Pelodiscus sinensis: one gene and its partner. The protein of the gene in region 1 purifies or fractionates together with the protein of each later gene. This does not show direct contact. Links are inferred from orthologs where the notes say so. Each region holds a gene or a part of one and is shown in the gene's direction. Other genes may lie near its edges. The genes, in order: KLC1 and CLSTN1.

The links.
Region 2: the proteins of KLC1 (region 1) and CLSTN1 purify together in Homo sapiens (co-immunoprecipitation; 3 studies listed by BioGRID and IntAct, with this or other methods). This does not show direct contact. The link is inferred for Pelodiscus sinensis from reciprocal best matches to the Homo sapiens genes KLC1 and CLSTN1.

Annotation. Positions count from the first base shown.
Region 1 is NC_134714.1:20,261,779-20,276,862, reverse strand, and holds the start of KLC1 (kinesin light chain 1), read left to right. Parts: upstream 1-8,626; 5' UTR 8,627-8,915; intron 8,916-15,084. UniProt on the Homo sapiens protein: Kinesin is a microtubule-associated force-producing protein that may play a role in organelle transport. The light chain may function in coupling of cargo to the heavy chain or in the modulation of its ATPase activity.
Region 2 is NC_134733.1:12,833,238-12,848,275, forward strand, and holds the start of CLSTN1 (calsyntenin-1), read left to right. Parts: upstream 1-6,790; 5' UTR 6,791-7,046; coding exon 7,047-7,137; intron 7,138-15,038. UniProt on the Homo sapiens protein: Postsynaptic adhesion molecule that binds to presynaptic neurexins to mediate both excitatory and inhibitory synapse formation.

The DNA of each region.
Region 1 (15,084 bases):
GCTGAGTTGTTTGTATGTTTTAATTACATTTCCAGAAGTGAGAACAAGCTTTTTTCTTTCCCCAGTGCTTTGTCTGCTTCAGTTACAGGAAGGGCAGCGTGCAGTAGTCAGATCTCAGACTCACTGCTTGATTGTTTATATATGGCAATAGGGCTGGGAAGAGTCAAAGAATCTGCCCCTGGGAGAAACTGACTGTAGAACAACCAGCAGATAAAGGGCACTAGCTGCCTCAGCACAGGAAATTTTCCCTTGGAGCTCAGGAGGTTTTGTATTGTTTCTATAAAACCAGCAGCCCCAGAGGATTATTGTTTGCTGGTTTGAGCTCATAAGGATTACAGTCATTACCCAACCACTAGTCAGCACCTTGAACTTAATTTAACATATAATTAAGAATTATATTCTAACCTTTAGTTCCATTATATGCTTCTGAGGAAATTAGAAAAGCATTTGCAGTTATTTGCAGCATGAATTTCTTAAAAGCCCCATGTATTACATTTTATAACAAAAAGGAAGAGGGTAAGTCAAATTAAATAGTGCCCAGAACATTTAATTCTAATCCTGGATTAGCTCACTCTCAATTAAGAGAATAAAAAAGAATGTGATCCTTTCTTTATGGATATAAATGCATATGTTCCTCCCATGAGGGATGAATTACAGATTTTGCAGTCACAATTTCACATGGTAAAATAAAATGGGGGGAGAGAGGGAAAAGGATGTTAAATTACTACACAAAAGGGCCTGAAGGTTAGAAACCATTATTCTTCAGTCTGGTTTTTGAATGAGGAGAGTTTGCAAACATATGGCCATGGTGTACCACTGGGCTCAAAGTTATAAAGTGGACACCACCTCTTCTAGCTGTGTTGGGTAGTACAAGACAGGTGCCTAACTCATTCTGACAGGAAATTCTTTTAAGCGGCTAAGATGCCTGACTGTCGTGGCAGATGCCTGCTTGAAGGTCACTGAACAGAGCTAGGCACTTCGCTGCAACCCAAACTTAAGTGTGTGTCCCTTAGAGAGTAGTAGGGCTGGTAGTCAAAAGAGAGAGCCTGATACGCGAAGCCTGGTAACAACTAACAGGGCTTTGTGCACAGTGATCTGCCTAAAATGTTCTAAACACTGGGCTACAGGATTTTCTGAGGTGTGGTTACCTCATCTCCACTTTAACTGAAGAACTAAATATTAATTGGGCTTCCAAAAGTCAGAACTATTTTGTAGTGACTATTCCAATGACTAGGACATTCATCTGGAAGGTGTCAGATCCTTGCTCCTCACGGGATTAGTAAACAGATCCCCTGGCCTATACCATAGCTGCCTCCTGGAAATCAAAGCTTATGCAAGTAGCTTTGAGAAAGAGAGAAGAGAAGTGAAGGATAGGGGTTCTGGCAAAGAACAAAAAGGATGGTGTTGTAAGAAAGGAGGTCACAAGGAAAACCTGCCATTCTCATGAGTTAAATCAGAGCTAGATTTTATTTATTCTGTATTGGGTATGTGTGGGTACTTCCTTTTTCCTAAAGCTGTTTGTGGTTTCAGGTTTAACTTGTGGGATGTTTTTGTTTGTTTACTCTTGTTCTAAAAGGATGCTTTCTGCCATTGTTCTTAATGGGTTGAAAGTTAGTCTGCCATCAATGAAGATGGTATCCTGTGTTCTATGAGGTAGAAAGCTATCAAGATGTTGGAAAGAAGATGATATAGGGCAGTGGTCTCCAACCATTTTAACCACAAGATCACTTTTTCAATTTAAGTGCAATGTAAGAGCTACCTCAAACCCACATACCTCTGCCCCTTCTCTGAGGCCCTGCCCCACCCCTGCCCCTGCCCCACCCCTTCCTCAGGGCTCACCCTGCTCACTGCTTTCCCCTTTTACCTCCCCCCCTCCTCACTCGCTTGCACCAGGCTGGGGTAGCGATTTGGGGTGCAGACTGATCTGGGCCCAGGGTGAGGGATTGGGGTTTAGGAGAGGGTTTCAGGGTGCAAGCTCTCGGAAGGACTTCGGGTGCAGGAGGGACTCATGTCTGGGGCAGGAGGTTGGGTGTAGGAGAAGGTTCAGGGCTGCGACAGGGGTTCAGGATGCAGGCTCTGGCTGGGCACCGTTTAACTCAGATGGCTTCCAGGTGGTGAAGCAGTGGGGTTAAGGCAGGCTGACTCCTGCCCTGGCCCCACACCTGTACCACTCCTGAAAGCAGCTAGCATGTGCAGAAATGGCTCCATGGCACCATGTGCTGCCCCTCATCTACAGTCACTGAGACCACAGCTTCTACTGGCCACAGTTCTCTGTTATTGATCAATTGGGGCTGCAGGAGCGGTGTCTGCAGGCAAGGACAGCATGTGGAGATCCGCTGCTCTGCCTCTCTCAGGGGCTACAGGGACATGCCAGCCACTTCCAGGAGCAGCAATTCCCATAAGGATAACTACTCCAGCCATGACGATTAGGCATTTTAGAACTCACTACTCAAATAATTGAATGCAAGCGTAAGAGAGAAATGAAAATTATGAAATGCACAGACCAGTCAGAAACCAAAAATAACACACACTTTATTTGCATTGCCAAGCTCCCTCCATCCCCTTCTCTCTGTGTCGAGATAGGGTACAGGAATGGAGGGAGGAGGGACACCTTGATATCAGCGCTCCCTCCTGTTCTCCCTTCCACGCCCTGCACAGCAAGTAAGAGGCTGGGGGGCAGCAGGCAGAGGACAGGAGCAGCATGACAGTGGGCAGAGGGGCAACTAAAGTAACAGCGCTTCATAGCTTCCTGGCCAAACCAGTCAGGATCATCTGTCAGAGGCTCCAGAGGATTCCAATACTGCTTGGCGACTGCTGATTTAGGGAACTAAAATGGGGACTAGATTTTTTAAATCCAAAGATATCCCATCCCACCCCAAGATGGCGGGTGACAGGTGCCACGTTCTGTACCTTTGGGATGGGGAAAGACCCAGGAAAATAGAGGGGAAAGGTGAAGGAAAGAATAACCCTATCTCCATTAAGGAGCTAAATGAAGACCCATTCCAATTACTTGGGGGGGTGGCTTCCTCTACAGACAAGGAATATAAAATACCATTTGCTTAGTTAATTAGTTAAATGTTAAGTTTAACCAGTTAACTGATTCAGTGGGGGCAGGTGGGAAGGACATTCCAAAGACAGCAGCATGGGAGGGCAAGCAGCAGTGCTTGTGGGGAGGCATCTTAAGAGGAAACCTGCAGAATACTCCACTTAGGAAGGAACAATCAGTTTCACACATACAGAATGAAAAATGACTATCTAGGAAGGAGTACTGCAAAAAGGGATCTAGGGCCCCTGACTTCAGTGATACCAGTGTAATTCTGCCTGTAAAAAATCAAAGACTATATTGTAATATATGTACAAAGGGGTAAGGTTAAGAGTGTTTATATGGAATTGTGAACTTTGCATTTTCTGACTCGAGTGCTTATCTGAGCATATTTACTGTTCTAGCACAGACCTTGTGGTATGGAATATTTATTAAAGCTCTGTGAAAGTGGCAAGAAATTGCAATCAATAAAGTTGATAGCATTAAACATTGCCAACTTAGGGCCTGATGAAGCAAAAAATACCAGACAGGCTGCTGAATCTGGCTTTTAGAGGACTACTATTGCCCGGACATTTTTGAACAGCTGCTGTATTTCACTGATGGATGAAGTAATTCCAGTGTAGCTCCATACTGTAACCCATATTAATATATTAAAGTCATTGGGAATCTTTTGTGTGCACAGAGTGCAGGAACAAGCTGTTTGTAAAACACTTTAGCACCATTGTGAGAGAACATATCAGATGGAAGATTATTTCTGAAAATCAAAATGGTGTAACAGAATGGCCTACGTAGAAGGAATTAATATGAATTTTTCTGTGGTTCAGAGACTATCTATAGCCCAGACTGTCAGTCAGACTGAACTCTGAGGTTCCTAGACTAACAGCTGTGACAAAAACAACTATTTAAACACAGGTTTTTGTATTTGATTGCTTGAACTGTTTGCTCCCTTTCCACAAATAACTTGTGTAAAAACATGCACTTCAGTGTGAGTTAAAGATCCAGATTTCTTTCTGAGATGGGAGGAAGCTTTTACACACCACATCCCCTCCTTCATGGTCAAAACTACCACATCCCTGGAAAGTCTGCACAGAATCATAAGGACTTGGCCTAGCCTTTTAATGACCCTCCTCTCCACGAGGGTCTGCAGGCCACTTCACTCTAAAAGTACTGTTCTGTACCTACACTGCTCCTTAAGCAAGAGCAGGCAAGGAAAAGATTTACTGCTGGTGTAACCAGAATCAATTCCTATGTAAATGGCTATCTTTTTTTCCAGTCTCCAGTAGGCTCTTGGGCTAAGTCTACACTGCAGGCTTTTTGTGCAAGAACAGGTGTTCTTGCGCAAAAATTGGCAGAGCATCTACACTGCACGCATGTTCTTGCACAAGTAAATTTACAGTAAAGCATCAGAAGAGAGGGCTTCTTGCGCAAGAGTTATTCCTCTATGAGGAATAAGCCCTCTTGCGCAAGGCAGTGTGGATGGGGACAGGGGTTTCTTGCGCAAGAGGGCGTCCACACTGCCATGGATGCTCTTGCACAAAAACACATCTCTTGCGCAAAGGCACATGGCAGTGTGGATGCGCTCTTGTGCAAGAACTCTTGCACAAAAAATTCTTGCGCAAGAAGCCTGCAGTGTAGACGTAGCCATGGGGTAAGTCTGCATTGCAATAAAACACTCAGGGCTGGCCTGTGTCCACTGGCTCAGGCTACAGGGCCATAAATTTGGGTTAGATGTTTGGTCCTGAATGCTGCTACCCTCCAAAGGAGGAGCAGCCCAGGTTCCAACCAAAGCATAATGTTTGGGGTTCATGGGGGCCAAAAGTAGGTTTCAGGGTGTTAGAAAGCCAGAGTGCCGCTCTGTAAGGCTGATGCCACAGACTCTGAGCCCTGCCTCCTAGGGCTGAAACCAAACCCTGAATAACTTAGCTTTGCAGGGCTTCATACTCTTAGAAGCCTATTCCAGCAGACCTTTCATGGAAGGGGCTTGTATTGTATTTGAAATCAGGTGGAAGCTTGCTGCAGAAGCACATAGTCCAAGTCTTTTCTGATACACATGATTAGCTAGCAAATTAGATACCTGTCTGACTGGAAGTTTATGAAATATTTACTACTTAGCAGAAATCAAAACTATATATAATATGCATTATGTATCTGGCCATGTTAGAGTAGTTGCTTTATTCAGAGCCATTCGAGTCTCTAGGGCAAATTAGTAACTACAGAATTTTTTTATGGGTGATGAAGAGATAGTGAATATTGTTTAGCCAAAAGACAGAAGCAGTTCTTTGCATCAGCTGTCTTGCATAATGAGGATGTTCAAATTTTAATTAAATCTTATGTATATTCATGAAAACTTATCGAACTGCCAGACCTAGTAGATCTGATTCCCCTACTAGGATTGCCAGACCAAGTAGATCTGATTCCCCTACTAGTCATTGATGTCCTGGTCAAAAACTGCAGTCAAAAAGGGGTCCCGGTGACTCCAGTTATCACTTCTGTCCAGGCCTTTGAGTCAGGTCAGCAGTGCAGTAGGGCTAAAGCAGGCTCCCTGCCCGCCCTGGCTCTAGGTAGTTTCCAGGAATGGGCAGCATGTCCCTGTGACCATTAGCTAGAAGGACAATCAGGGAAGTTTTGGGCACTGCCCTCTCTCCCAGCATCAACTCTGCAGTTCCCAATGATGGGAGCTGTGGCAAATGGAAGCTGCAGGGATAATGCCTGTGGGTGAAGTCAGTGCAAAGCTGCCTGCTCGTCTTTCTGCTTAGGAGCCAAGGGATATATCATCTCTTTTGGAAGAACCCCCAAGATAAGTCCTGCCTGAGCCCACACCGAAAATCCGCTCCTGCAGCCCAACCCACTGCCCCATCCACGAGTGTCCTTTTGCATCCAAACTCCCTCCTAGAGCCACACCTCCTCCCCCACTCTAGCCCTGAGCCCCCTTCTGCATCTCAAAAGCTTCAGCCCCACTCCAGAGCCTACACTCCCTGCTGGAGCCTGCCCCCCCCAAAGTCCAAGCTCCCTGCTCCAGTTCTGTACTCCAAACCCCTCAACTTCAGCCTGGACCGCCCTCTTGTACTACACCCCAGCCCAGTGAAAGTGAATGAATAGCAGGAAGAGCAAGCAACAGAGAAAGGGTGATGAAGAGTGGAGGGGTGCCCTTGGGAGAAGGGGCAGGGCAAAGGTATTTGATTTTCTGTGATTAGAAACGTGGCAACCCTACCCTCTAACTCTTAGGCTACATCTACACTAGCAGTTTCTTCCGGAAGAGCAGCCGTTCTTCCGCAAAAACTTGCCGGTTGTCTACACTGCACGAGCATTCTTCCAGAAGTAAATTTACTGTATAGCATTGTAAAACAGGGCTTCTTCCAGAAGAGTTATTCCTCTCCCCATAAGGAATAAGCCCTTTTGTGCAAGAATCCTCTGAACTGTCATTCATGTTAAAATTCGACACTTGCCAACAAGGACTTAACAAGACTTTGAACTTTCTCACCCATTACCAAGACAGTTTCCCCAATTATCACCTGTAATACCATTAACTCACAAACATCCCACTCTCCCTACCTTTAATATCAGCAATTCACAGACACTTACCTTCCTTCCTCCCCCTTCCCACCCCCCCGCATCCCCCTTCTGTTCTGCAATGTGATTTGTCCTTTTCATATTTGTTCATTTTTTTTAATTGTATCCTTTGGTATATATGGTTGTGACTACTTTCTTCCACTATTTGATCTGAGGAAGTGGGTCTGGCCCACGAAAGCTCATCATCTAATAAACCATCTTGTTAGTCTTTAAAGTGCTACATTGTCCTGCATTTTGCTTCAACTACCCCAGACTAACACAGCTACATTTCTATCACTATTCCAGAAGAGGGCATTGTAGACAGGCAACATGAATTTCTTGAGCAAGAAGTCCCTATGGTTAAAAAGGCCATCAGAGCTTTCTTGCAGAAGAGAGTGTCTACACTACCATGGATGCTCTTGCGCAAAAGCACATGGCAGTGTAGATGCTCTCTTGTGGAAGAATTTTTGCACAAGAACTCTTCTGCAAAAGAGTTCTTGTGCAAGAAGCTGCCAGCGTAGACGAAGCCTTAATGTTTAGCTTGGATATAGGGTTGTCCTCTACTTCTTCCTCCTCATATTCTCACATTTCTGTAGAGCTACCCTGTTAGCTCCCATAATGTGAAGAGTCTCAACCAGGAGCGGTTTGAGGCCGGCTGCGGCAGCTGGCGCCCCAAGCAGGCAGCGCAATTGGCGCCCCTGCCTGTACCGCCATCAATGGTCGTGACGTTATCATCGGGCGCCCGGGCCAGCAGCGCTCTAGGCAACTGCCTAGTTCGCCTAGGCTCATGGGCTGCCCCTAGACTCAACCTTTGGTAGCTTCCTATTTATTATCTAGCGAATACTAGAACTCTACTCAGTAGCTCCCTGCTACAATTTATGGTTGTAAGTGACTAGTCAACTACCTGATAAGCCTAGGCTTACAGGGTAGTCAAGTCAATACTCGACTAGTTGCTCCTCTCCCGCTGCCAGGAGAGTAGGAGCTGGTACCTGGCTCCTACTACATTTAAACTGCAGAGCTGCAGCTGCTATCCCCTAATTGAATAGTTTTTGAAAATTTAATTTGATTAACTGATTATCTGCATTTTAACATCCTTACTGCAACTTCCAATAGATAATTAACCATTAGTGGGCAGTTGACCTGTTTGTGTATATATGTTTAACTGTAAATGTGACCAGACATTTTCCCAGAAGCTCCTTCCTGCTAGCAACTTTGAGCTCTACCTGCATTGAAACCCCTTTGATTAGTTGCCTTCTTTAACTTGGCTGACTGATGGAGCAAAACAGTCAATCACAGTTGTTGTAGAAAGAGTGCTCTCCTCTCTCTTTGTAGCAATTTGAAACTTTCTCACAAGAGGGAAGGGGGAGTGGAGATATCTCCCCTCTTACCAGAAAAGAGGATGGCTGATTGACTCCTCCTGTCCCTCTCTCTCCCTGCACCAGCTGGTTTTAGAAGAGGCAGAGCAGGGAGGAAGAGCCCTTTGAGCAGGTTAGCCTGGAAAGGAGAGAGATCTTTCTGTAACCCTCCTTCTCCAGGTCTAGAAGGATGGGAGGAAGAACCCAGGGGGGCTATGAACTGATGGGAAGACTGAAGAGACATGACTGATTAGGAGCAAAACTAATTGCAAGGCAAGGGAGGGGTACCTCCTGCACCATGGGCCAAAATCACCTTAGTAAATTTGGGAGCCTTACACGCTGGAGCCAGAGCATGCTAAAGTGAGGACCACTCTTAAAATCTCGCCACTGCACCGGCTGGAGACGGAGTAGGGAGAACAGAGCTGGTCAAGAGGAACTTTCCTGACCATTGCTCCTGCCGGACACCCCCTCTCCCTGCAGGCGGACCCTTCTCTCGGAGAAGTCTCCTCGTTTGGCCAGCAGAGGGGGCTGTGGTAGTCCCAGCGCCTCGCCACTCTCCTGCTGCTGCCATAGGCGGGGCGAAGGGCCCTGCCGGCGCACGCGCCCCGCGGCAAGCTCCTGCCCCCACCCCAGGGATGACGTCATGGGTTTGGTCGCGGAGCATTGTGGGACGGGAGGAGCCGCCATTTTCGGTGGGGGGCGGAGCGAGCCGCACAGGCTGGGAGCCGGGAAGGGGACGCGCGGCGGCGGCGGCATTTACTGCCCGCAACTGTCAGCGCGTCTCCCGCGGGCGGCTCCGCGCCGGCTACCGGCGCGCCCACGGCAGCCGGCGGGCGGGGAAGCCGCTGGGGTTGGTGGTGCCGCCCTGCTCCCCCCACCGACATCCCCTCCGGTGCCCTCCCGGGGTGAGGAGCCCGGCCGCCTCGCCGAGCCCTGCGCGCATCGCCTCCGCTTGCAGCACCCGAGCGGTGAGTGAGGGAGAAGGGAAGAGGCCGGCTGGGGCCGAGCCCTGTGCCTGTCGGGGGCTGGGAAGGCGGGTGATGGGGCGCGGGTTGGTGAATAGGGGGTATAGAGCTTGGGGGGCTGGGGCCGAGCCCTGTGAGTGTCGGGGGCTGAGGGCGGCAGGGCGGGTGATGGGCACAAGGCCGGCGTGTTGGAGTAGGATAGAGCGGGGGGATGGGGCCGAGCCCTGTGTCTGTCGGGGGTTGGGGCAGCGCAGGAGGGTATGGGGTGGGAGTGGGTAGGGGGCGTGTGCAGAGAGGCAGCAGGAGGCGGTTGACAAGGGGTGGGGTTAGTCCGTGTTTTGCCATTTTCCATGAGCGCTGAACCTCACCTCCCTTCCCTTCTCCCATGACACAAACAGAACAAAAGGCTGGGCAGGTCTTGTTGGCCTGACGGTCCTTCTGTAGCTCATGGTTACAGCCAGCCTCTTCAGTATGTCTGTCAATCCCAGGACCTGCTCTGGCAGTGACTGTACTGGTGATTCTGCTGAAGAGATGCTGAGAGAAAGGGATCCTGTTCGTCTGGATTGCGAGCAGCTTTTTTGTTGTTGTTTCTCTTCTTTTCTTGCTCTTTCCTGGCTTCCTCCAGTGCTGCAGTTAGGGCCTGAGGATGCCCAAGGAGGAAACCCTGGACAGAGTTGTGGGATAAAGAGCTATTCCCTCCCTTGTAATGTCTTTATTTGCAAAATGGATAGATGGTTCGGTTGGTTGGTTGCTAGTTCTGAAATACTGAAAGAACAGTAATGACAGCTCTTGAATTTTCGTGTGTGGTGATTGGCTATATAAATTACAGAAGCAACAGCCATAGATTGTTACCTTTATATACCTCTTTATTGTTATACTTTAAGACTCTATGTATGAGGTCTTCACCCCAGAAGCCAATCATAGTTGCAAGATTTAAAAACAAACCCAAATCACAACTCTTCAATAAGCTGCACTTAATGTGAATGAAATAACAGTAATGTACATCAGGTTTTGTAGCTTCATAGGTGAAGCTTCTTTTCTTATCAGAGTCTTCCAGACCCCCTCAAACAAATAATTTAGTTTGTAAGAATGTGACTGTTTTTTTTTTCTAGATGACATATTATCTGTATAATGAGTGAGCCTTTATAGTCAATTAAATTCTCAAATAACAAATGTAAGCCTTACATTTCTGTAGTATGCTTTGTTCAGGGTATCTTGGGGATCATATCTTGATGATTAAGTGATAATTAAATGTACAAAAGCATATATATTTCTGCTTATTTTTCTTTGATTTATATTTTTTCTCTATATCATTTCAAAACTAAACATAACAGTAATGCAGTAAGCAAAACGGACTAAAACAAATGTGAAATTAGTTTGCATTGTATAAAATGAGAAATAAAAAAGTAAGCAAACATCCTAGATAGTATAAATTAATTTATACTATGTTTATTTTAAAATATGGATGATTTTACTAAAAAGCAAAGATTCTTAAAATATTATAAATCTGTATTGCTGTGACAATAGGAGCAAGCATGGTGCGTTATGGTATTTCATTTGGTGGATGTCTCATTTATTTTTGTTTATAGCTACACCTTGCATAGGAAACATTCGTCCAAATTAGCACACAAGATCATTCTTGAAATTTTTTTCCAGATACAAACATTGAAAAAAGTTGGCTACAATTTTGAGTTCAGCTTCTATTCAAAAATCATATTTGGCAAATAATTTTATTTTAATTGGTTATTAATTCCATAGCTGGGATACAATATAATTGAAGATAACCAAACCACAGGACTAATAATAGTATTGAGTAACAAGTTTAACATTCATAGACAATAGAGAGGAAGCAGATCCATTAGCTGAAATTGAGCACAGGACTTTCATGTTTTTTTCAGTCAGCAGAACAGTTTTATAGTTAACATGTTACTTAACAGGAAACTGCTGTGAAATTATAGCAAATTTGGAGAAGTATTATGTTGTGTTCAGAGCTCAGCAGACTTATGTGGGGAGGGGCAGAGGATTATAATAATCAATTCCTCAAAGTCACACCAGAATGCAGTATCACTTCTGCATCATGTTGCAGTTAAAAAGTTTGGAAGTCTTTCTGTTCCTCTGAGGATGATGGGAATGGACAATCCCATTAATATGAGGATCTATCAACATTATATTTATTTCCTGTTCCTTTTAATAAAAACAATATTGCTATCAAATAACATTTACAATCAAGGAAAATAAATAAGATGTTAGTTATATATTTTAAATTATCTTTTAAGCATTATAGCATTGAACTATTCGCATGTGCCATTTATCAAGGCAAAATGAGAGGCTAAGCGGCCTGGTAGTTTAGACAAAATAAGAAAAATCTAGCTTATCAGCATAAGAGTAATGGTGTATGCAACTTCAAATGAGGCATCTAAATTATTTAAGAGGAAGAATCTTTATATTTACTTTATTAAAGCAGGAGAACCGAAATAGTATTGTACAGGCACCTTTAAAATACAGAATCAGTTGCTGTTGCTATGCTGATGGAGGAGCTTTCCATGAGGTTGTCACAAAATTCTCACATATATACTTTCTTCTGCGCCTCTGCGTGTTTTTGGGTCTCCTGTTTGGCTGGGTGTCCCTGGAAGACTTCATTGTATCTTCAAATTTAGTCTCAAAATTTTTTCATTGAAAGTTGTGTGTTTCTTGAGACATTTGGATTTGAGCAGCCACTCTTTATCTTCATGTCAGGTATCTACAAATTTGTTACAAAGAGAAGGGAGAAAAAGTATTCTCCTTAACCTCTGACAGGACAAGAAGCAGTGGGTTAGAATTTCAGCAGGGAAGTTTAGGTTGAACTTTAGAAAAAACTTTCTAACTCACGGTGGTTAAATACTGGAATAAATTGCCTAGGGAGCCTGTGGAATCTCTGTCATTGGAAATTTTTAAGAACAGGTTAGACTAACATCTGTCAGGGATGGTCTAGATCAGTGTTTCTCAACCTTTTTTTTTTTTTTATAAAGTACTCCCTTAAAAAATAAGTTTACCTACAGTTTTCGGATGCACAACATTTTTTTCTACTGTTGCAACGCATTTATTTAAACAACTTAATCATAGTTGGGTGGGCAATGAAATTTTTGGGTGTAAAAAGTACAAAAATAATAAAGCACCATAAAACTTGAAACACAAATTTGGTTTTCTCAAAATTTCAGTTGTTGACGTACTCCACAGACTTCTGTCGAGTACCCCTAAGGGTACTTGTACCACTGGTTGAATAACACTGATTGTAAATATATCTCAGTGCTATCATGGTATATAATGAGGACTGATGGTGAGTTTAATCATTCAAATGTGTGTGTATATTGTTCCCTGGGAAACAACATACCTGTGAGTGTTTAGATAAGGGGTTGAACATTATAGGGGAATGCTTCAAAGGAGCCCTAGTACTGGTGTCCACCTATTGTTAACCTGCAAGGCAAAGTAGAGGATGTATAGCCCAGAGGAAATTGTTAGGGTGGCTAACTGACTGAATGTACCAAGGACCTAACACTTAGCAAGTCTACCCCTCACAGGAGGCAGGAGGTAAGAAGCGTAACATTCAGTCCTGGGCAGCCTGAAAACTTTAACAGCCATCCACATGACATTATCCAATGGCTCTTTACTTCCCGGGAGTTGGCAGCCAACAGGCTGACTTTCTCAGTGGTCTCTGTAGAACACCATTGTAGAGCTTCGTAAATCTCTGATGGCATTGGATTCCCTGTGGTTGACTTGTTCACCACCATTAACAATAAGTACCAGAACTCTTGTTCCAAAAGGAGCATAAACCCAAAGTCATTCCTCTTTCTGCAGTGGTTTTGAGGCCTTCTGAACACCTTTTCAGCAACTTCCTTCTTTCCAGGGTGACAGTCTCTTCTGAGTTTGGAAAAAGCCACAAGCACTTTTATAGCTCTGTCCTAGTTTTGGCTGACAAACCTGCCACTATTGACCAATTAGCTGCTGATTTAGCTTCTGGATTGTTGTACTTGCTTTGACAGGACCATTGCCATAAACCCCATGCAGGTTTCCAATAATTAGTCTGGATTGCAGTAGGCATATCAAGTACTATGGAGAGAGACTGCTTCATAAAGTCCATGAAATCCTGATACAGAACAGGTATCTGCCCAGAAGAAAGACTTATTCATGTAAATGGATTTTGATACGTGCATCCCAATATACTCTGGATCTGCTACAGGCCTTTAGACAGAAGATCCTTAGTTACCTGTTTTGCACTTCAGACTGTCTGGCCTTTCATTTATTTCTGTCAAAGTCTTCATCACAGGAATTTCAGCCTGTCAGCTTCAAGAACAATCATGCTCTGACTTTTTGTGCTTAACGTTATTGAAGTTCCTCAAGGGCTTTGACATACTTATCCACCCATCAGAGAACCTACTTCTTTCTGGGACCTCATTTAGCCTCCCTTTTGAACCACTGTCGGAATGCACCTTATATTACTCATTTTGAAGATGGTATTCCAGTGGCTGTCACTTTAGCTAGAAAAGTGAGTGAACTGTAGGTGATTGACTGAACTTCCCTATATAACATTCCACAGGAATAAGATGCTGCTAAGATCTCACCCAAACTTCATGACCAGTGTGATCTTGGTGGGATAGGTAGAGGGAGAGGGGGGACAGGCAGCACTGCAGAGCCAGTGCTGGGGGGAAATGGCTTTTAAGCTGTCTTCTCCCCGCTCCACCCTGCCCTTGCAGCCCCCTATTACTAGATAAGTTTTGAAATGTACCCATTAAAGCAATTAAACAACATTTCAAGGTTAATTGGAATATGATATTGATTTGGCATTTGTCTGCTATGACCATAAACATAGTATTACAACTATTCAGAATAAAATTCCACATCTTAATGAACAGGTTTTTTTGGGGGCTTAAGTATGTGCCTAAGTACTTCCATCGTTGAGAATTAGTGAATAGTGACAGTAATTGGAGTGGCTATAAAATAAAAGAAATCAGATGAGATCTAGGTCACTAGGTGTTTGTAATAAACTGAAAGATAGAAACCAGCTTGCATGTCACTGCTGTTTGACACATTTTTACAAAATTATGGACTTGAGCACTGATGCATATTCAAGAATCTCATAAGAATAATTAGTGTTTCATATATGCATATGAACACAGATGTGTATATTGGCTATCATGCTTGTAAGGTGGTCACCTCAATATATACAACTTACTAAATCTTTTAACTGCTATAATTTCATTAACTGTTCAAGACCTTATTTTCCATTGAGCAAATATATGTGCAATAGATAAGCCAAGGGTGGACAATAAGCATCCCACATCCAGCTTATGAGCCACTTACTGCCCATCCCTGGGATAAGCTATTAAGAAAAATGTTTACTGATGGTTTGTCTTGACAAAACATTTGGTATATTTATTGAACTTTTTCAGAATATACTAGAATGTGAGAAAATCCAAAGTAATCAATACATGAAAAAAAGATTTACTTTTGAGCCTCTAATTTTATATAATCACTTCATAGTTATATACATTAATCATGAACATTTCTAGTGTCTAAGATAGGGATGTTAAAGACTAGTCTTCTATCCGATAAGCATTTGTGTATTGGGTAGTCTTTTGACTAGTCAATTTCCCCAGCTGATTCCGGGGCTCCACTTCCCCTTTGAAACACACAGAGGTGGCATTTCAAAGGGGCAGCCGTACAGCTGATTCGGGGGAGGGGGGGGCGGGCTTGTACATTTCAAAGGAGGAATGCGAAAGTGCCTGTCGACTAGTTGATAGAAATTCCATCGACTGATCAATTAACCACATTTTAACACCCTTAGCCTAAGATGGAGATGAGATTCCCAACTCTTTGACTTTTAAAATCTAGAACTTTTAAAAATTATCTACCCTTCTAGGATGCATGTGCTAACTCCTGCAGTTTTTACTTGGACAAAATTGCAATGGGAGTTTTCTAAGGGTGTATCTACACAAATCCAAGCTTATTTCAAAATAGGGAATGTTTACACAGTGAAATAGAGCACTCTTCCTCAAACTTCTCTTATTCCTCATACAATGAGGGTTACAGCAGTCGGAATAAGAAGTCCTCCAGCTTGACAGCATTTTGACACTATTTCAAAATAACAGCCTGCTGTGTAGAGGTGGATTAAGTTATTTTGGACTAGTGCTAGTTA
Region 2 (15,038 bases), on another chromosome or scaffold:
GAATCCTGACACATTTACATTTCCCACTCAGAGTTAGTGCACAATTCTGTTTCTAAAGACTCCCAAGTGTGGAGGATTTATCAGATCTCTGCCTTATCACACAGGTATCAGTGGCTGTGCTTTAATTGCCCTGCAAACCTTTACTTGTGTGTGGTCCTTCATTATGCATTGAGTCAATAAAATTACTTGTGTGAGTAAGGATTTGTTGGATCCGACTCCTACTAGCCACCTAAAAGAAAAATACATATTATTGCACATTTTCATCTGGTGAAGCATTGACAGAATGTCAGGATTTAGATACATACTGCAACAGCAGGGCTAGAAGGTGGGATAGCTCAGTGGTTTGAGCATTGGTCTGCTAAACACAGGGTTGTGAGTTCAATCCTTGTGGAGGCCATTTGGGGTAAATATTTGTCAGGGATGGTACTTGGTCCTGCTGTGAAGGGATGGGATGGGACTTGATGACCTTTCAATTTCAAGGTCCCTTCTAGTTCTAAGAGATAGGCAATCTCCATTAATTTAAGCTTCTTTTAATATAATGTGTCAGCATATGTTGGTGTCACTTATCCTGGCAAGTACCCCTTCCTAGCCACCTAGTAGGACTGCTATAAAGGGAATCCAAATCTGTGTTGCCCTGGGTTTTCTGGGGGTATTTTAAGCTCTTGGGGCCTTACTGGAGACCAGCCATGGTGTAGATGCTCCCAATTGTGGTGTAGACAATCCCAATTTCGAAATAAGCTACGCAATTGATGTAGCTCAATTTGCGTAGCTTATTTCAAGTTAAGCCCTGCTGTGTAGACAAACCCTGAGTGTTGGAACCCATTGTCCAGCTACCTAGCCCCTCTGCATGCAGTTCTAACCCATCAGCTCCCTGGTACTTAAGTAACTCTACTTTCCTGGAACTCCACCCAAAAGGTGTGAAGCGTTCAGTTTACTGTTTCTCTCTTTCAGGATCAACATGATAGTTGTGAATGCTTAAACTTTAAAGGCAAGTCTACACTACAGAACTACATTGACCTTATGTTGACTTAGTCACTGAAGTAAGTCAATTGCTTTTGTATCTCTACCTTATGCTGCTTGCAGTGCAGGTGTGTGTCCTTACTAGGAGCGCTTGCACTGGTTAAATTGTCAGTGTGGGGCATTGCGATATGGTCTCTGAAAGGCAGCAGCAGTCAATGTAAGTAATGGACTGACACCGTGTTGATCTAACTTCATTGACCTGAGCACTATGCCTCAAAGAGGTGGAATTATTAAGTCATCAGAATGGACGAGTTACTTCAGCGGGCACGACATTTTAGTGTAGATATTTCAGTTTTAGGTTGACATAAACTGCCATGTGATGACCTGACCTTGCCATAGAGTAAACTGCCTCTGCACTTATTCTAGCTCCACAGCTCTTTACTTAAGAAAACACACAGAATACAGATCATACAGAAAACCATAAAACACTATACTAAATGCACTGTCCTCCGGTAGCTCACCCTTTCCTTGAGAGATCACCTGTGTTCCATCAGGCAGGCAGGGTTCTTTGCTCACCCTCATCTTAGTCTGGTGCAAAATGGTTCCATCTGCCCTCTGTGTGTCCCTTTATAATTTCGTTTTATATATATATATATATATATATATATATACAGGCAGTCCCCGGGTTACATGGATCCGACTTACATCAGATCCCTACTTACAAACGGGGTGAGGCAACCTCGCACTAGCTGCTTCCCCCCAGAAGACCAGGGAGACGCAAAGCTAGCACCCCCCCCCCCCCCCCCCCAGCAGACCAGGGAGACACAGAGCGGCTTTTCTCAGCAGACACCTCAGCTTGAGAATAAAGGACTGAGGGAAGTTAGGTGTGGGAGAATAAAACTGAGCGCTGGAGAAATGTTTGGCTAGAGTTGCCCCTACAATATGTACCAGTTCCGACTTACATACAAATTCAACTTAAGAACAAACCTACAGTCCCTATCTTGTACGTAACCCGGGGGACTGCCTGTATGTGTGTGTGTGTGCGCACACATGTGTGTGAAGTGGAGGTAGATCAAACCTATTGTCCCAAGGTATTTTACTTTGAATAGACTGTTGTTTTCTGCTTCGTCATCCATCTTTATCTCCAGCGTGGCAGAGACCTGATCCAACCCTGCTGACTCATAGTGGTGCCACATACATATAAGCTTTCCAAGGCAGGGCAATGTCATGCTACCATTACATAACCTAATCCACAACTGAAAAGTGGTACAGTCAGAACCTCCCAATCCTCACAGTTGGGCATTTTGAGAAATCAAGACATTTTAATGGGAGATTTGACTAAGAAATGCAGATTGACTTTCTAGCTGCTGATAAAATGGTATGCTGAATTGTCCACCAGCCCCCAATATAAATAGCTGTGAGGAAAACTGGTTGATGATGATTACAGAGAGTTGCTCAACTGGCAATCAGGGAGACTATTACTGACTAAGTCTTCCCTCAGGATATTAGTTTGTAGTTTCTTGATTTTTTTTCAGAACATGATGGTGCTAGCAAAAGTGCTGTAATGTGTGTGTAGAATGTTTTTTCTCTCTCATCTGGATGCAAATTAATGTTGTGGGACTACTTTGGTTTGCTTTCTGATTTTCAAATTCTTAGAGGTTTTTTTTTCCCCCCAATTGTTCTATTTGCTGGTGAGCAACATGTCAGATTCAGTTGCCCTGATGCTCTGGGTCCATCTTGGCTGATGTCATTGTACCAACAGTCTTGGATTGGCAAGTGGGCTGTGCCCACGAAAGCTTATGATATCTATATGTTTTGTTAGTCTTGAAGGTGTTAATAGACTATTTGTTGTTTTTTAAATTTATCCTGTAAAGACTAACTCAGCTACCCCCTGAAGCTTTTGGATTGGCAAGTCAGACATTGGTATTTATGCTGCTTATACCTAAAAATAAAATAATAAAAATCCACCCTCTTGCTCCCCACAAAGGAAGTAATAACATTACAAGTGTATTTATACAAGCGGTCAAAGCCCTGCTACTTTGTTAGAAACTAACAAAATTGTATTGTCAGGTAATGACAAACTTGGCACATCCTTGAGATCATATTAAGCTCTAATAAAACTCTTTGAACAATCCACGATATGGCATTTCTCCAGCTGCCGAATGGCACCTTGGAAATTCAAAGAGCAATCTGAGTAGCAGAAGCTGTTCCCTGAGGATGGAGCCTCACTGAGAAAGATCCCCGAAGGGTTTCATTTTCCTTGAGCATCAGTTTGCAGAGGAAATGATGCATCTATAAAGAACTGTGTAAAGAAAACGAGCCTATCCAGACATGCCCTGTGACTGAGCCCAAGAGATGCTCAACACCCACAACTCCCACTTGAGTTAAGGGAAGTTGTGGATACTCCACACCTCTCTGGATCATGCCCCATTCTATAATGCTCTCTGTCATCTTCTAATGAGTCAGTCTGTTTTAATAATACTGTGGATATGATAGCACCTTCAATGTGAGATTTACACACTATTTTACAAACCCAAGTTTCAAAGTATCCCTGTAAGGAAGATATTATTACTATTTTACCGATTGGTCAACTGAGGCACAGAAAGATTAAGTAACTTGCTTAAAAAAAACCCACATAGAAAATGTTTGGCCCTTCTAGGAATAGAACCCAAGAATTCTGGCTCAGAGCATCCTGCACCAAGCACTAGACTTTCCAAGCTCCTTTTAATGCTGTGGGACATTCAGTTTCTTCTTTCACTACTTTTCTCTGTCATGTAGTGGGATATATGCTCACAAGATTTTGGCTCTATACTGAGAAAGCAGTCATATTTTCATCATAGAATGTGTAGCTACCAAACTACAAAAAGCATCCTGGAGTGGGCTGGATAATTTAGGGGATTGGTGCTAATCTTTACCTTCAGGTTCTGATTTAAATCCAACCCAGGATGCTAGAGAGTGAAAGTCGCTTCTTAATGGTTTTTTTGGTGGCCTACATGAAAAGTGTTTGGTTGTCTTTATCCAGTTCTCAATGATGAAGTGTCCATTAGACAAAACACATCATAATTGTCACTAATTGTCTTTTAGAAGAGAGATCAAGGACTGACAGGTGTCGGAAATAAATTATCCTCTTGCCTCTGGAAGGTTGGTTGGCCCCCCCTACATCTTGAATTTGTTTTACTACTACATTGATGGGACAACCTGGGAGGAGCTGTTACTGGGACTGCCTGTTCTATAGATAAACAGAGCTGTCTGTGATACCAGCACTAAAGTCACATGATGAGTTTAAATATGAAAAAAGATGGAAACAAAAACCATATCAGGGGTGTCAAAACAGTCTGTGTTTTATTTTTATTTCACTGTGGAAGTGAAATTGCTAATAAATGCAAACCAGCTATTTCTGTAATGATAAAATCAGTCTGTCTCACTTTGTCTTTTATGAAGCTCCATAAATCTGGGAAGGTAAGATTTTCCTTTTTGGATCTGGCTCTCTGATAGAATTTTTTGATCAAAGAGCAATAACAAAGGAAGCTGAGACAATCACCCTTCTACAGCTATACAAGTACTATACCCCTAAATTATTCATATGCAATCTTCTATGTGGGGCACCTACATGTTTTCGCAGATAGAACTAATAACCCTGTATCCTAATTTAAAAAAACAAATCCATGTACATAAAATGCATGTCACTAATCAGCACGTCTGCATATTTTAGGTACTTCAAAAACAGTTTAGCTACTTTATGCAGAAAAGTTTATACTGTTCAGTTATGAGAAAGGTATTTTGTACTTTCAGTTTCCCCATCTGTAAAATGGGGCTAATAATTCTTAAAGGAACACTAACTCAGAAATCACCTATAGCTGGGATCCTACATACTTATGTATGTACTTAATATCAAGCATTTAGATAAGTGTACACTATTGTGACTTAGATTAACCTTCTCCAAAAAACACTCCCCCCCCAAAATACTTCACCATATTTTTCTGTTTTTTCCACTTTGTGCATTTGACAGTACTTTATACAGGTGTCTTTTACCATTTTCCCGAAAGACTCCCAGCTATAGTGTGACATGTGTGAGTGGACCTCTACATATGTCTTGCAGAATCTGGGTTTTAGGGCTTGATTCTGTTCCTCCTGAAGTCAATGGGCAAAACTCCCCTATTGCAGGACTTGTAGTGGGGGGCGAGGGGCGAAGGGTGAGCCAGATCTTGCCTTGCTGGAAACATCTCTGTAAACATTAACACAGGAGCAGGCAAATCCCTTATAAAAATGTAAAGGGATGTTTAGAAGGTTAAGATATACTATTTAAAAGTTGATGTATCAGGAAATGGACTATTTTAAAAGTATTTTTTTAAATGACTTGATAGTGTCCCACTACGGAGTAATGAAGTTTAATTAGTTAATGTTCGTAAAATAACTTCAGATCCTAAAACATTATTTTTGTATTCGCCAGATACAGAGCAATCTTGTAAAACAGTTCATTTCAACTGCAGTAAGGTAAACAATGAATGATTATTTGGGGAAAATCAGGAAAAACTACCACAACAGTGGAAATTAAGTACACAACAACAGAAAGAAGACAACAATCCTACATACTTTGAAGGGAAATCTAGCCTCCTAAAATAATTGTTGCCTCAGGGCAATTACACCGCAAAGTGTCTCTTAGGTAAATCCTGTGATCTTCCAACAGTTCTTACCCAGGCAAAATGTCCTTGGTATCGGATTTTTGGCCGAGTAAACACTAAAGGGGTTTGGTTCCTGGGTGGATTACACTGCATTGCAGTTTGTGAATTTTAATACAACGCAGAAAGGAAAAAAGCATCGCGGGTGAGACAGCATTTCACATCCCCACCATCCGCCCACTCCACGTGCCCACAAATAAATAATTAACAGGGGCCACCGTTTTAACTCCTCCTCCATCCAGGGGAAAGCACGCGAGTTTGCCGTGGAGTGTGAAGTTGACTGCGACGCGAAAGGCACTGAGCCTTTCTTGCCTTCCCTCCCCGCATCCCAAGACGTCTGCATTGCAGTGCAAACTGAATCACGCACCGGCATGGAGCGCTGCCTTCCGCTCCAGCCAACACAGACCACGCGAGCACGCCCCGCATTGTTAGTTATTTTGATCGGGGTGGCGCCCACTCGGTGGTGCTTACCACGGTGCACAACGGGGCTGAGCATCCTCCTCTACCTTCTGCCCCTTTGCAGCAGTAGAGCCTGCAGGGCAGGACAAAATGGATGGTGCCTCTGACTCTCCCTCCCTCCCGCCTCCGCTCCTACCTACACAGAGCAAATCCGGTGTGATTGCAGTGGGTGATGCTTCATACCCATGCAAAAGGGCTGGCACATGAGCACCGGCCTCCTGCCCCCTGCCCCTCCCTTGCCAAAGGAAAGGAGCCCTCCCCACGCTCCAGCCCTGGACTCTGCAGAGGGGCTCAGAGGCTGTGATAGGACACCTGAGAAGGACACTCTTGGTTCCTTCCAGGTAGAAGAGTGAAAACCACCTTCTCCCCACAGAGAGGCGATGGCTTCTCCCATCTCTCTATTGCCCCAGATGGTATTTTCCTTCCCTCCACCCCCAGCCACCCAATGGAGGGGTGGGTTATCCCCTCCCTTGATACCCCCCTCTACAGGTTTGGTTTCTCTCCTCCCTCGAATCCACACCAAGAAATAAGGTGCTCCCCTCCCATAAATGGTTCTGCCCTCTAGCCCCCAGAGATAAGGTGTGGTCTCCTCTCCTTTTGCCCCCCCCTCCCCACTCCAAATGGTTTGTTCCCCTCCGCCAGAGGGATAAGATGGTTTCTCCCATTCCTCATCTCCCGAATCCCTCCCTTAGAGTTGGTTTCTCCCTGGGCCCCCCTCCCCCGCCTGGTAACCGGTGCGGGAGAGAATGAGCCCAGGCATCAGCCGCCATCTTGATCCTAGCTGCCGCTGGCAGAGCGCTGCGCTCTGAGGAGGGGAGCGGAGCCTTCGCAGCGCCCCTAACCCTCCGCCCCGCAGCGCGGGACGCAACCAGGCCCGCTGGGGGGCCCCCTCCTCTGTCTCTTAGGGGTCCATCCCCCCTGCCACTCTGAGCGGGCAGAGCGCGCGCGATGCTGCGCCCCGGGATGCTCTGCCCCCGCCTAGCCCCCGCCTGGCTCCTGACCGCTGGGCTGCTCTGCGGGGGGCTCTGGGCTGCTAGAGGTGAGTGAGCCTTGGAGCCGTGCGGCGGGGGGGGGGGGGGGGAGCTTGCTGCAGTGACCTCCTCCCTGGAGACTGCGTGCCCTCTGCGGGGGCTTGTCCCCCCAATTCCCCGGGACACCACCCCCTTCCCCGGGTCACCCTGTCCGCCTTCTGCGGGGGCTTGTCCTCCACCCCTTCCCTGGGACACCCCACCCGCCTTCTGCGGGGGCTAGTCCGCACCCGTTCTTCTTCAGGGATGTCTAGCTCCATCCCCCATCTAACGATGTAACCCTAGGGCACCCCATCTCTCCCTTCTGGGAGGCTTAACCCCGTTCCCCTTCGTGGTGGGGGTGGGGGTTACTCCATTCCCTGTAACATCTCCTACATCCTAGCTATAATCGCTATGGAATTTAACCCTCTGTTCCCTTCTTTGGTGGGGGTCTAAGTGCATTCTCCTTGTGGCACCCAGTTTACCTACCTCTGTTTGGGATTTGAACCCCTGTGTTCCTCTCGCTGATGGAGGAACCTGGTTTCCCCATGTAATATCTCCTTTATCCCTCTCCTGGTGGAATTTAACCTTCACTTATTTCATATGGGAATTAATCCCTTTACATTGAGCAAAATCTCCTCCTATGAGGGGGCTGAGTTGTGGGCGGAGGCAATGTCTTTGGCTTCCTCCATCCTTTGGGCACAGCAGGATGATACCCCTCTCCAGAGTGCTAGGGATAGGAGGGGGTTAGTCCCTCTCCTCAGTGGTGCTGCCTTAGGGGGTGGGGAGTTATCCCCATACATAGTGTGGCAAACATCACAATCATAGATGATGGAAGAAGGAGGAGAGAGTTGTCCCAGTGAAGGAGACTTCCCAACAGCCAGATCTGGGGATGATTTATCATGTGTGTTCGTTGGGGGGTAGCAAAGTTGAAGCCCTACAGACTAGGGAGGGGAATTGCTACCCACACTTCTCTTTAATGCTGAGGTGTGATGATAGGCGGTAGTGGTGGGTTATTCCTGGTAAGGAAGACTTGCCCACCTCAAGTTAGGTTGTTCTCTTCCTCCTCCTGGCAGATGCAGCTTGAGCTAATGCCTGCTTGGGACTCTGTTTCCTGGGTTTCTGGGAGAGGGTGGGAAGGCATTGGCTTTGCTAATGACATCAAGATATATATCAGTGCAGTGTCTACTTTTTTATGAAGGGGGCACCCTGAGATTTTGGTAAGTGATCAAGGGCTGCGTTTTTCAATGGAGGGGATGTGAGGTCTTAGATGGAAGTTGGGTGCAGAAGGGAGCTTGGGGTTATGGATTGGGGTACAGGAGAGGGTGTGGAGTTTGAGAGGAAGTTTGGGTGAAGGAGGAAGTTGTCACCTGGGATAGGGAATTAGGAAGGAGGTGCGGGGTGCAGGAAAGGATTCTGTCTTGGGGGAGCAGTGTGAGAGGAGTGCAGGGTCTGGGAGAGAGTTGTCACCTGGGAGAGAAGGGTGCAGAGGGAAGGGATGGTGACCTGGGGTAGGGAGTTGGAGTGTAGGAGAAGGTGGGGTGTCAGGTGTAGTCTCTGGCCTAGAGGCACTTACTTGGTGGCTCCTGACTAGCTGGACCTTCAGGCAGGCTCTATGCCTGAGAGGGCAGGCTGCAGGTCAGATGAGCCATATTTTGCCTGCCCCATGTGAGTGAGAAGAAGAATGCATGAACCATAATCGTTCTGCCTCTGTTTTGGTTTTGTGGTTTTGTGGTTACCTTGATTAGGGTCTGTAACAAGGAGTGTGTGGATGTTACATAATTGTTCCTCCAAAAACTCTTGGATTTTACATTGTGAATATTTTCTTCTTTTCTTTAAGCTCAGTTTGGTTTTAAATTAATAGAGGTGTAGAGGTCGTAACTTGTATCAAACATAGTCCGAACTCATGAAATGTGGTAAGACTATCCATGCAGCCCTAGACTGGCTGCATATTGTAAACAGTCTCTCAGCTGGTTCTTGAAAGGCAGGGTAGTTGTGTGTGTGCACAGCTTTTAAAACTATGGTGGTATTTCGGTTAGTGGAAGAGCTTTGATCATTAACTGGGAATAGAAATGGGAAATCTAACACCTCAACGAGCCTCTCCCAATGACATGTTTTTTTTAATAGAGAACATTGTCCTGTTCCTAAAGCAAATACAATTTTATTGCATCTTTTGCCATATACCCTTTTCAGTGTTGGATATTGATTGATGTTGCAAACTGAAAAGCATACGCATTGCAGATCTGTTTTTGAACAGATTTCATTATAGTATTGCAGACTGTTCTTTACCAGAATGTGAACCTATATATTAAAAAGGGCAGTTTCTGTAAGATTATTTAATTGATCTGATGGTGGTATTTGTGGACTGCATTTTCTTTTCCTAGCATCCACTAGTTTGTAATAGCATCCGGACTTCATAAGCAATTGAAAGGCTTCTGTCTATGAAGCGCACAAGCTCTTTTTAGGTACTCTGACAAGTTATTACTAATCTAAAGACCAAAATGTAACAATATTTTATCTAATATTTATTAAATCATCTTGTAATTTCATTTTAATACTGTGTATCTGTGGAACATGAATACTTGGTTACCTTGCTGAGATATCAATATTAGAATGAAGATTCGAATACACTCTTGCCTTTGTTCTTTTTCTTAGAAAAGATGGCAGCAGAAACTTAATTTTCTACTTGCCTGTTTTTATGTTTTTATGTAATTCTGAGACTTCTGTAGAAAGTTGTACGTAAATACTAGTTTAATTGTAATCAGCTAGTATTAAATCTACAATTTCTTGTTAGAGCCCAAACTGTGTTTGTTGTCCATCCTGATGCTGCTTTTACTAGAGTAGAATTCTGAGTTGCTAGATTCTAAAGATTAGTTCTTAACTAACTTGTTACAGATATTTATGAGACTTCATTTGGCTTTGGTATGTGCACAGTTAGAAACTGTTTATCTAAATATATGTTTATTGTCTTTTAAATAAAATATAGAAAGAATCCAGTGACTAGTGAAAGCTAGCAAAGCTTGTCATGGTGGTGTAATTTATAGCCTAGCATTCTGTTGCTATACTTAAAACTGAAAAAAATATACTTACATTCATAGATTAAAAATAGCGAATCTCCATATACTATTTGTTACTAACACATTAACTGTTTTAAAAAGCAAACAGTACTAATTGAATACTGGTATGTCATTCATCTTTGATACTGAGAACAGACTAATCAATTTAGTTGTATATAATCAGTTTAACTTTCTGGTCCTCTTAACACAATGCAAACACTGCAGGAAAATATCTTTGGGATGGGAAGCTGTTTTTTTTGCTGGTAATTAAAATAAACAAGAACTCCAACATGACAAAATATGGAAACATTTTAAGTTGGGCAAGGTTTTGTGTGTGTGTAGGTCTATCTAATCTATCTAAAAACCCTAAATTGTCATCTGAATTTGACCCGACAATGTGCTTTTCATACTTCAGTTGTGATTTCTTTCTAGTGTTTCTGTCCTTCAGAGAATTAGATAAGCTTAAATGTCAGTTTTTAGTTTTTGATTAATCAATGCATCCTGTTATTGCAAAGAACTAGAATATAAATGTTAAAAGTCCATACTATGTAGTTTAATGTCCATAGTATAAAAGGCAATTTTATGAAATTATTTCTTTAATGTTTATCTTGTAATAGTTATGTTGGACTAAGAATGTGGCTAGGTCTACACAACAGAGTTTTTGCGCAAAAATAGGCATTTTTGCGCAAAAATTTGCAGCGTGTCCACACCTGAAGTGCATTTTTTCGCAAGTAAAATGAAAGAACAGAAGGGTTTTTCCGGTGTAGGTATTCCTCCTTCTACGAGGAATAACTCTTTTTTGTGTGTGCAAGAGTTCTTATGCAAAAAGGTGTATGCGGACGGGCAACAGGGTTTTTTTGCACAAAAACAGGAAAGAGGAAAAAGCACAGGTGCTCTGGTGGACATTCTGTGGATAGCTATCAACACTTTCTTTCAAGAGAGCATCCATGTATTGTGGATGCTCTCTTCTGCAAAAGCACATCACTTTTTCAATGCGCGTTTGCAGTGTGGACGCTCTCTTGCCTAAGAAGTTTTTGCAGAAGATCTCTTCTGCATAAATACTAGTTTAATTGTATTCTGCAAAAAGCTTCTTGCACAAGAAGCCTGTAGTGTAGACATAGCCTGTGTGTTATAACAGAATTGTTAAACATGTTTACATCAATTATTGGAAAAGCTGAACTGTTAGCATTGAGAAATACTCTTTAAAGCATTGGTTAAATACTTCACTCTGATAAATGGAACTGAAAGGGAAATTAAATTGTAAAGGGAAGGAGTGCTTCCTTTCTTTCTGTCTTTTGAATGAGAAGACAGTTCATTCTTCAGACATTGGTCAGGTAAAACATTAGCTACTTCTGCTTCACCTCAGGCCTTATGTCATGTCTTTTAACTGAGTGATGAAGATCACAGAAAGGAACAGTAAAAAATCAAAACAGTAGTTATACCCAGGAAATCATCACTGATTTTGAGCAATTCAAGAGGTTTCTTGTGTTCCTATGAATTTCTCAGTCCTACCTACAAATAACTTTCTTACAACTACCATATTCCAGATAGCTTATTCCAGACATTACTGTGGACAGTCTTCATTATACAGAATGTTGTATATTAGGGATATAAAATCCCATTTAATTAGTTAGTCAGTTAAACATAATGTTTAACCAGTTAACCATTTAAACAGCCTATGGTGCGATGGGCCCAACGAGCCCAGGAGGGGCTGCTCCAGCTTGACGGGGCCGCTAGTTAGTCTGAAAGATCATCCAGGTAAGGGTGTTGCTTACTGGTTGACTACTGACATCCCTAAAGTATATGGTTCCTCTTTTCACTCCAGAAAAGGCAAAATTTTAGATTTTCCTAAAAAAATGACTGCATCCAAAGAATTGTGTGGTATCCTTTTTTTAAAGTCCTTAATGGATCTAAAAGAGAAGAAGTGAAGGAGAAATGGATAAGTTACTGGTAGAAAAGCCTTTATTTTAATACTTTTGGGTAAGGTGTGGTATAATGGCCACTTTATCAGTTGGATGAGACAATGCTAAGTGGTTTTTCCATCCACAGTACAAATGAGATTATATGTGTCTGCAGAGATTAAAGTGGAAGAAAACTGATGCTGTCTAATCTAGTATATTTTGTTATGTCTTTGTTTCCAGCATTGCACTACCTACTTTTTCTTTTCTCATAGAAATAGAGTGCACTCTCCCACTTTGCAGCCAGCAAAGCAATATGAGCCATAAATTATACTGGTAGAAATCTTTGGTGTTGTAAAAATAGCCTTTTTTAGTTAAGGTGTTGTAAAAATTGAATGTGACTTGTAAGCTTTCATTCTCCTTTCTGAATTACTCATGAAATACCCATTGTAAATTTCTTTGCCCACTGCTTATTTCTGTCTATCTGGTTTTTAACTCTGGTAAAATCACAGGCTACAGTCTCATTAATGTACATTTTTATTAACTGAATTTGCAATTTGTGTCAGTCTGTACAGGAGCTCCCTAAGGTCTAGTCCAGTGTTTCTCAACCTTTTTTTTTATAAAGTACCCCTTTTTCAAACACAAAACTAAAACAATTATAAGTACCCTCACTACCTACAGTTTTCAGACACACCATTTTTTTTCTATCATTTCAACACATTTGTTTAAACAACTTAATCGTAGCTGGGCAGGTGATGAAATGTTTGGGTGTAAAATGCACAAAAATAATAAAGTGCTGTGAAACTTAAAACAAAAATTCAGTTTTCTCTAAATTTCAGTTGTGTTGATGTACCCCACCCCTTCCCTCCCCTCCCCCGACCTCTCTCTGGTACTCGTACCACTTGTTGAGAAACATTGGTCTAGTCTAGACCTTACAATTACATTGACCTATGTCAGGGTTTCTCAAACTTCATTGTTTGGTGACCCCCCCCCCCCCCCGTGACAGCAAATATAACTTCACAACCCCAGGAGAGAGGGACCAAACTCTGAGCCTATCCAAGTTCCACTGCCCCACATGGGGGGAGGGAGTGAGCAAAATCTGAGTTCCATCCAATATGGTGTCTCACCTACATCTTAACAAAAACACAATCTTGAAGGAAAGTCTGACAGTTCCTGGAGGTCTTCTCCAATGTAACCAAAAGAAAAATGGAAAAAACTCCACCGCATGAATTTATAACTTTCTCAGCCCTGGTCTATATTAGGGAGTTATTTCAAACTAACCCCCCTTTATTTAGAAATAAAAAGCAAAGCATCCACACTACCAAGTCCATTATTTCAAAATAAAGGGCTGGAATTATTTCAAAATCTGTACTCCTGCTTTCCTCGGGGAATAAGGCTTATTTCAAAATAGAGATAGTATGGATGCTCCGCTGCTACTATTTCAAAATAACTATTCCCCAGAGTAATTTGAAGTAATTACTCCCCCAGTGCTTCCTGGGGCTCTAAATTGAGGTAGTGCGTCCACAGTAATGGAGTCCACCTTGGACTAATTCGAGGCTCCTCTGTAGTAGGGACACACTATTTTGATTTTGTTATTTCAGGAGTTATTTCAATTTTAGTTATTTTGAAATAATTTCCTAGTGTAGACATGCCCTCAAAATAAATGATAAACTATTTTGCGTAAAGATAGCCTGTGTTGTCATATGGGAGACCCAAATCAGATTGTATCCAGATTATTCCCAGGCAGAAGTAAGGGATTTGTATTGGAAATCAAATTCAGCCTATGACTACAGTACAGACACTAATCATAATGGCATAGCTACAGCACTACAACTATGCATTTTTCTGGAATGAATAGGTTTCACAGAATTAAATTATTTTTTATAATTTTAACATATGAATGTTTTAATTTTTTCTGTCTCTGTTTTTATTTATTTTCACAGTTGCATGAAATTATGGGAAGGGGTCATGTGAATTATTTAATGACAGACATTGAGATTCAAAAAGTTAAAGCTTTATCGCTGCTAAAACATAAATTACCAACATCTCATGTCAAAATATACAAAGTGAATATTTAAGTTCAAAAAAATAATTTTTGTATTTAGCTTGTCTGTCAATTTTGATTATTGATGGACATTTTTGTTTGCATATGGTGAAATCAACATTTACTGACATTTACCAGTTAAAAAAAAAAATTCAATTCTTCCAAGCCAGCCAGTAGATTATAACGTGGTTCATATATGAAGCCCAGTAATACCAAAACAAAAAAACCCTAACTTAGAACGATGATGCTTTTAGACATGGTGGTAAATTCTTTTAAAGGATTCACTAGTCCTACCAAAATATACAATATTCATCTAGTTTTAAAAAACAAAGCAATACAATAGATATTAAATATTCTTAAATACTGAAAATAAGGCGAACATCATAATTAACTTCATTGACAAGTGTTTGTGTCAGTTTGATGTTAATCCTCATTATTAAATTCAGTTGGTCATATCCCCCAGGCTTGAAAAATGATCACATATCTGCTGAATCACTTGATAATTACTTGTTCTGTTCATTCCCTCTGAAGTGCCTGGCATTGGCTACTATTGGAAGACAATATACTGGGCTAGATGAACCTTTGGTCTCACTCAGTACAGTTTTTCTTGTATTCTTACCTATTAAGCAAATACAGATTTATAAGATATGAGCAGTTTCAGAAGTTCTGGACCAATGTTTGGAGACTCCCGAGAATTATACTTTAGTTAGTAGTTAATGTTTAGATGGTTTTCCTTCTGTTATAAGGGATGGAAATTTTCTGTTCTCTTTTAATTACTGAAATGTCCACCTCAATTACTGAGACAGCTACCCACTTTAAAATGGATTTTTCAAACTGGATAATAGCTGTAATTATACTTTAACTCTTTTCTCATTGGTTAGAATGTCTCAATGTTTATCAAACACGAATGCATTCAAGTCTTTTAATACCTTTTC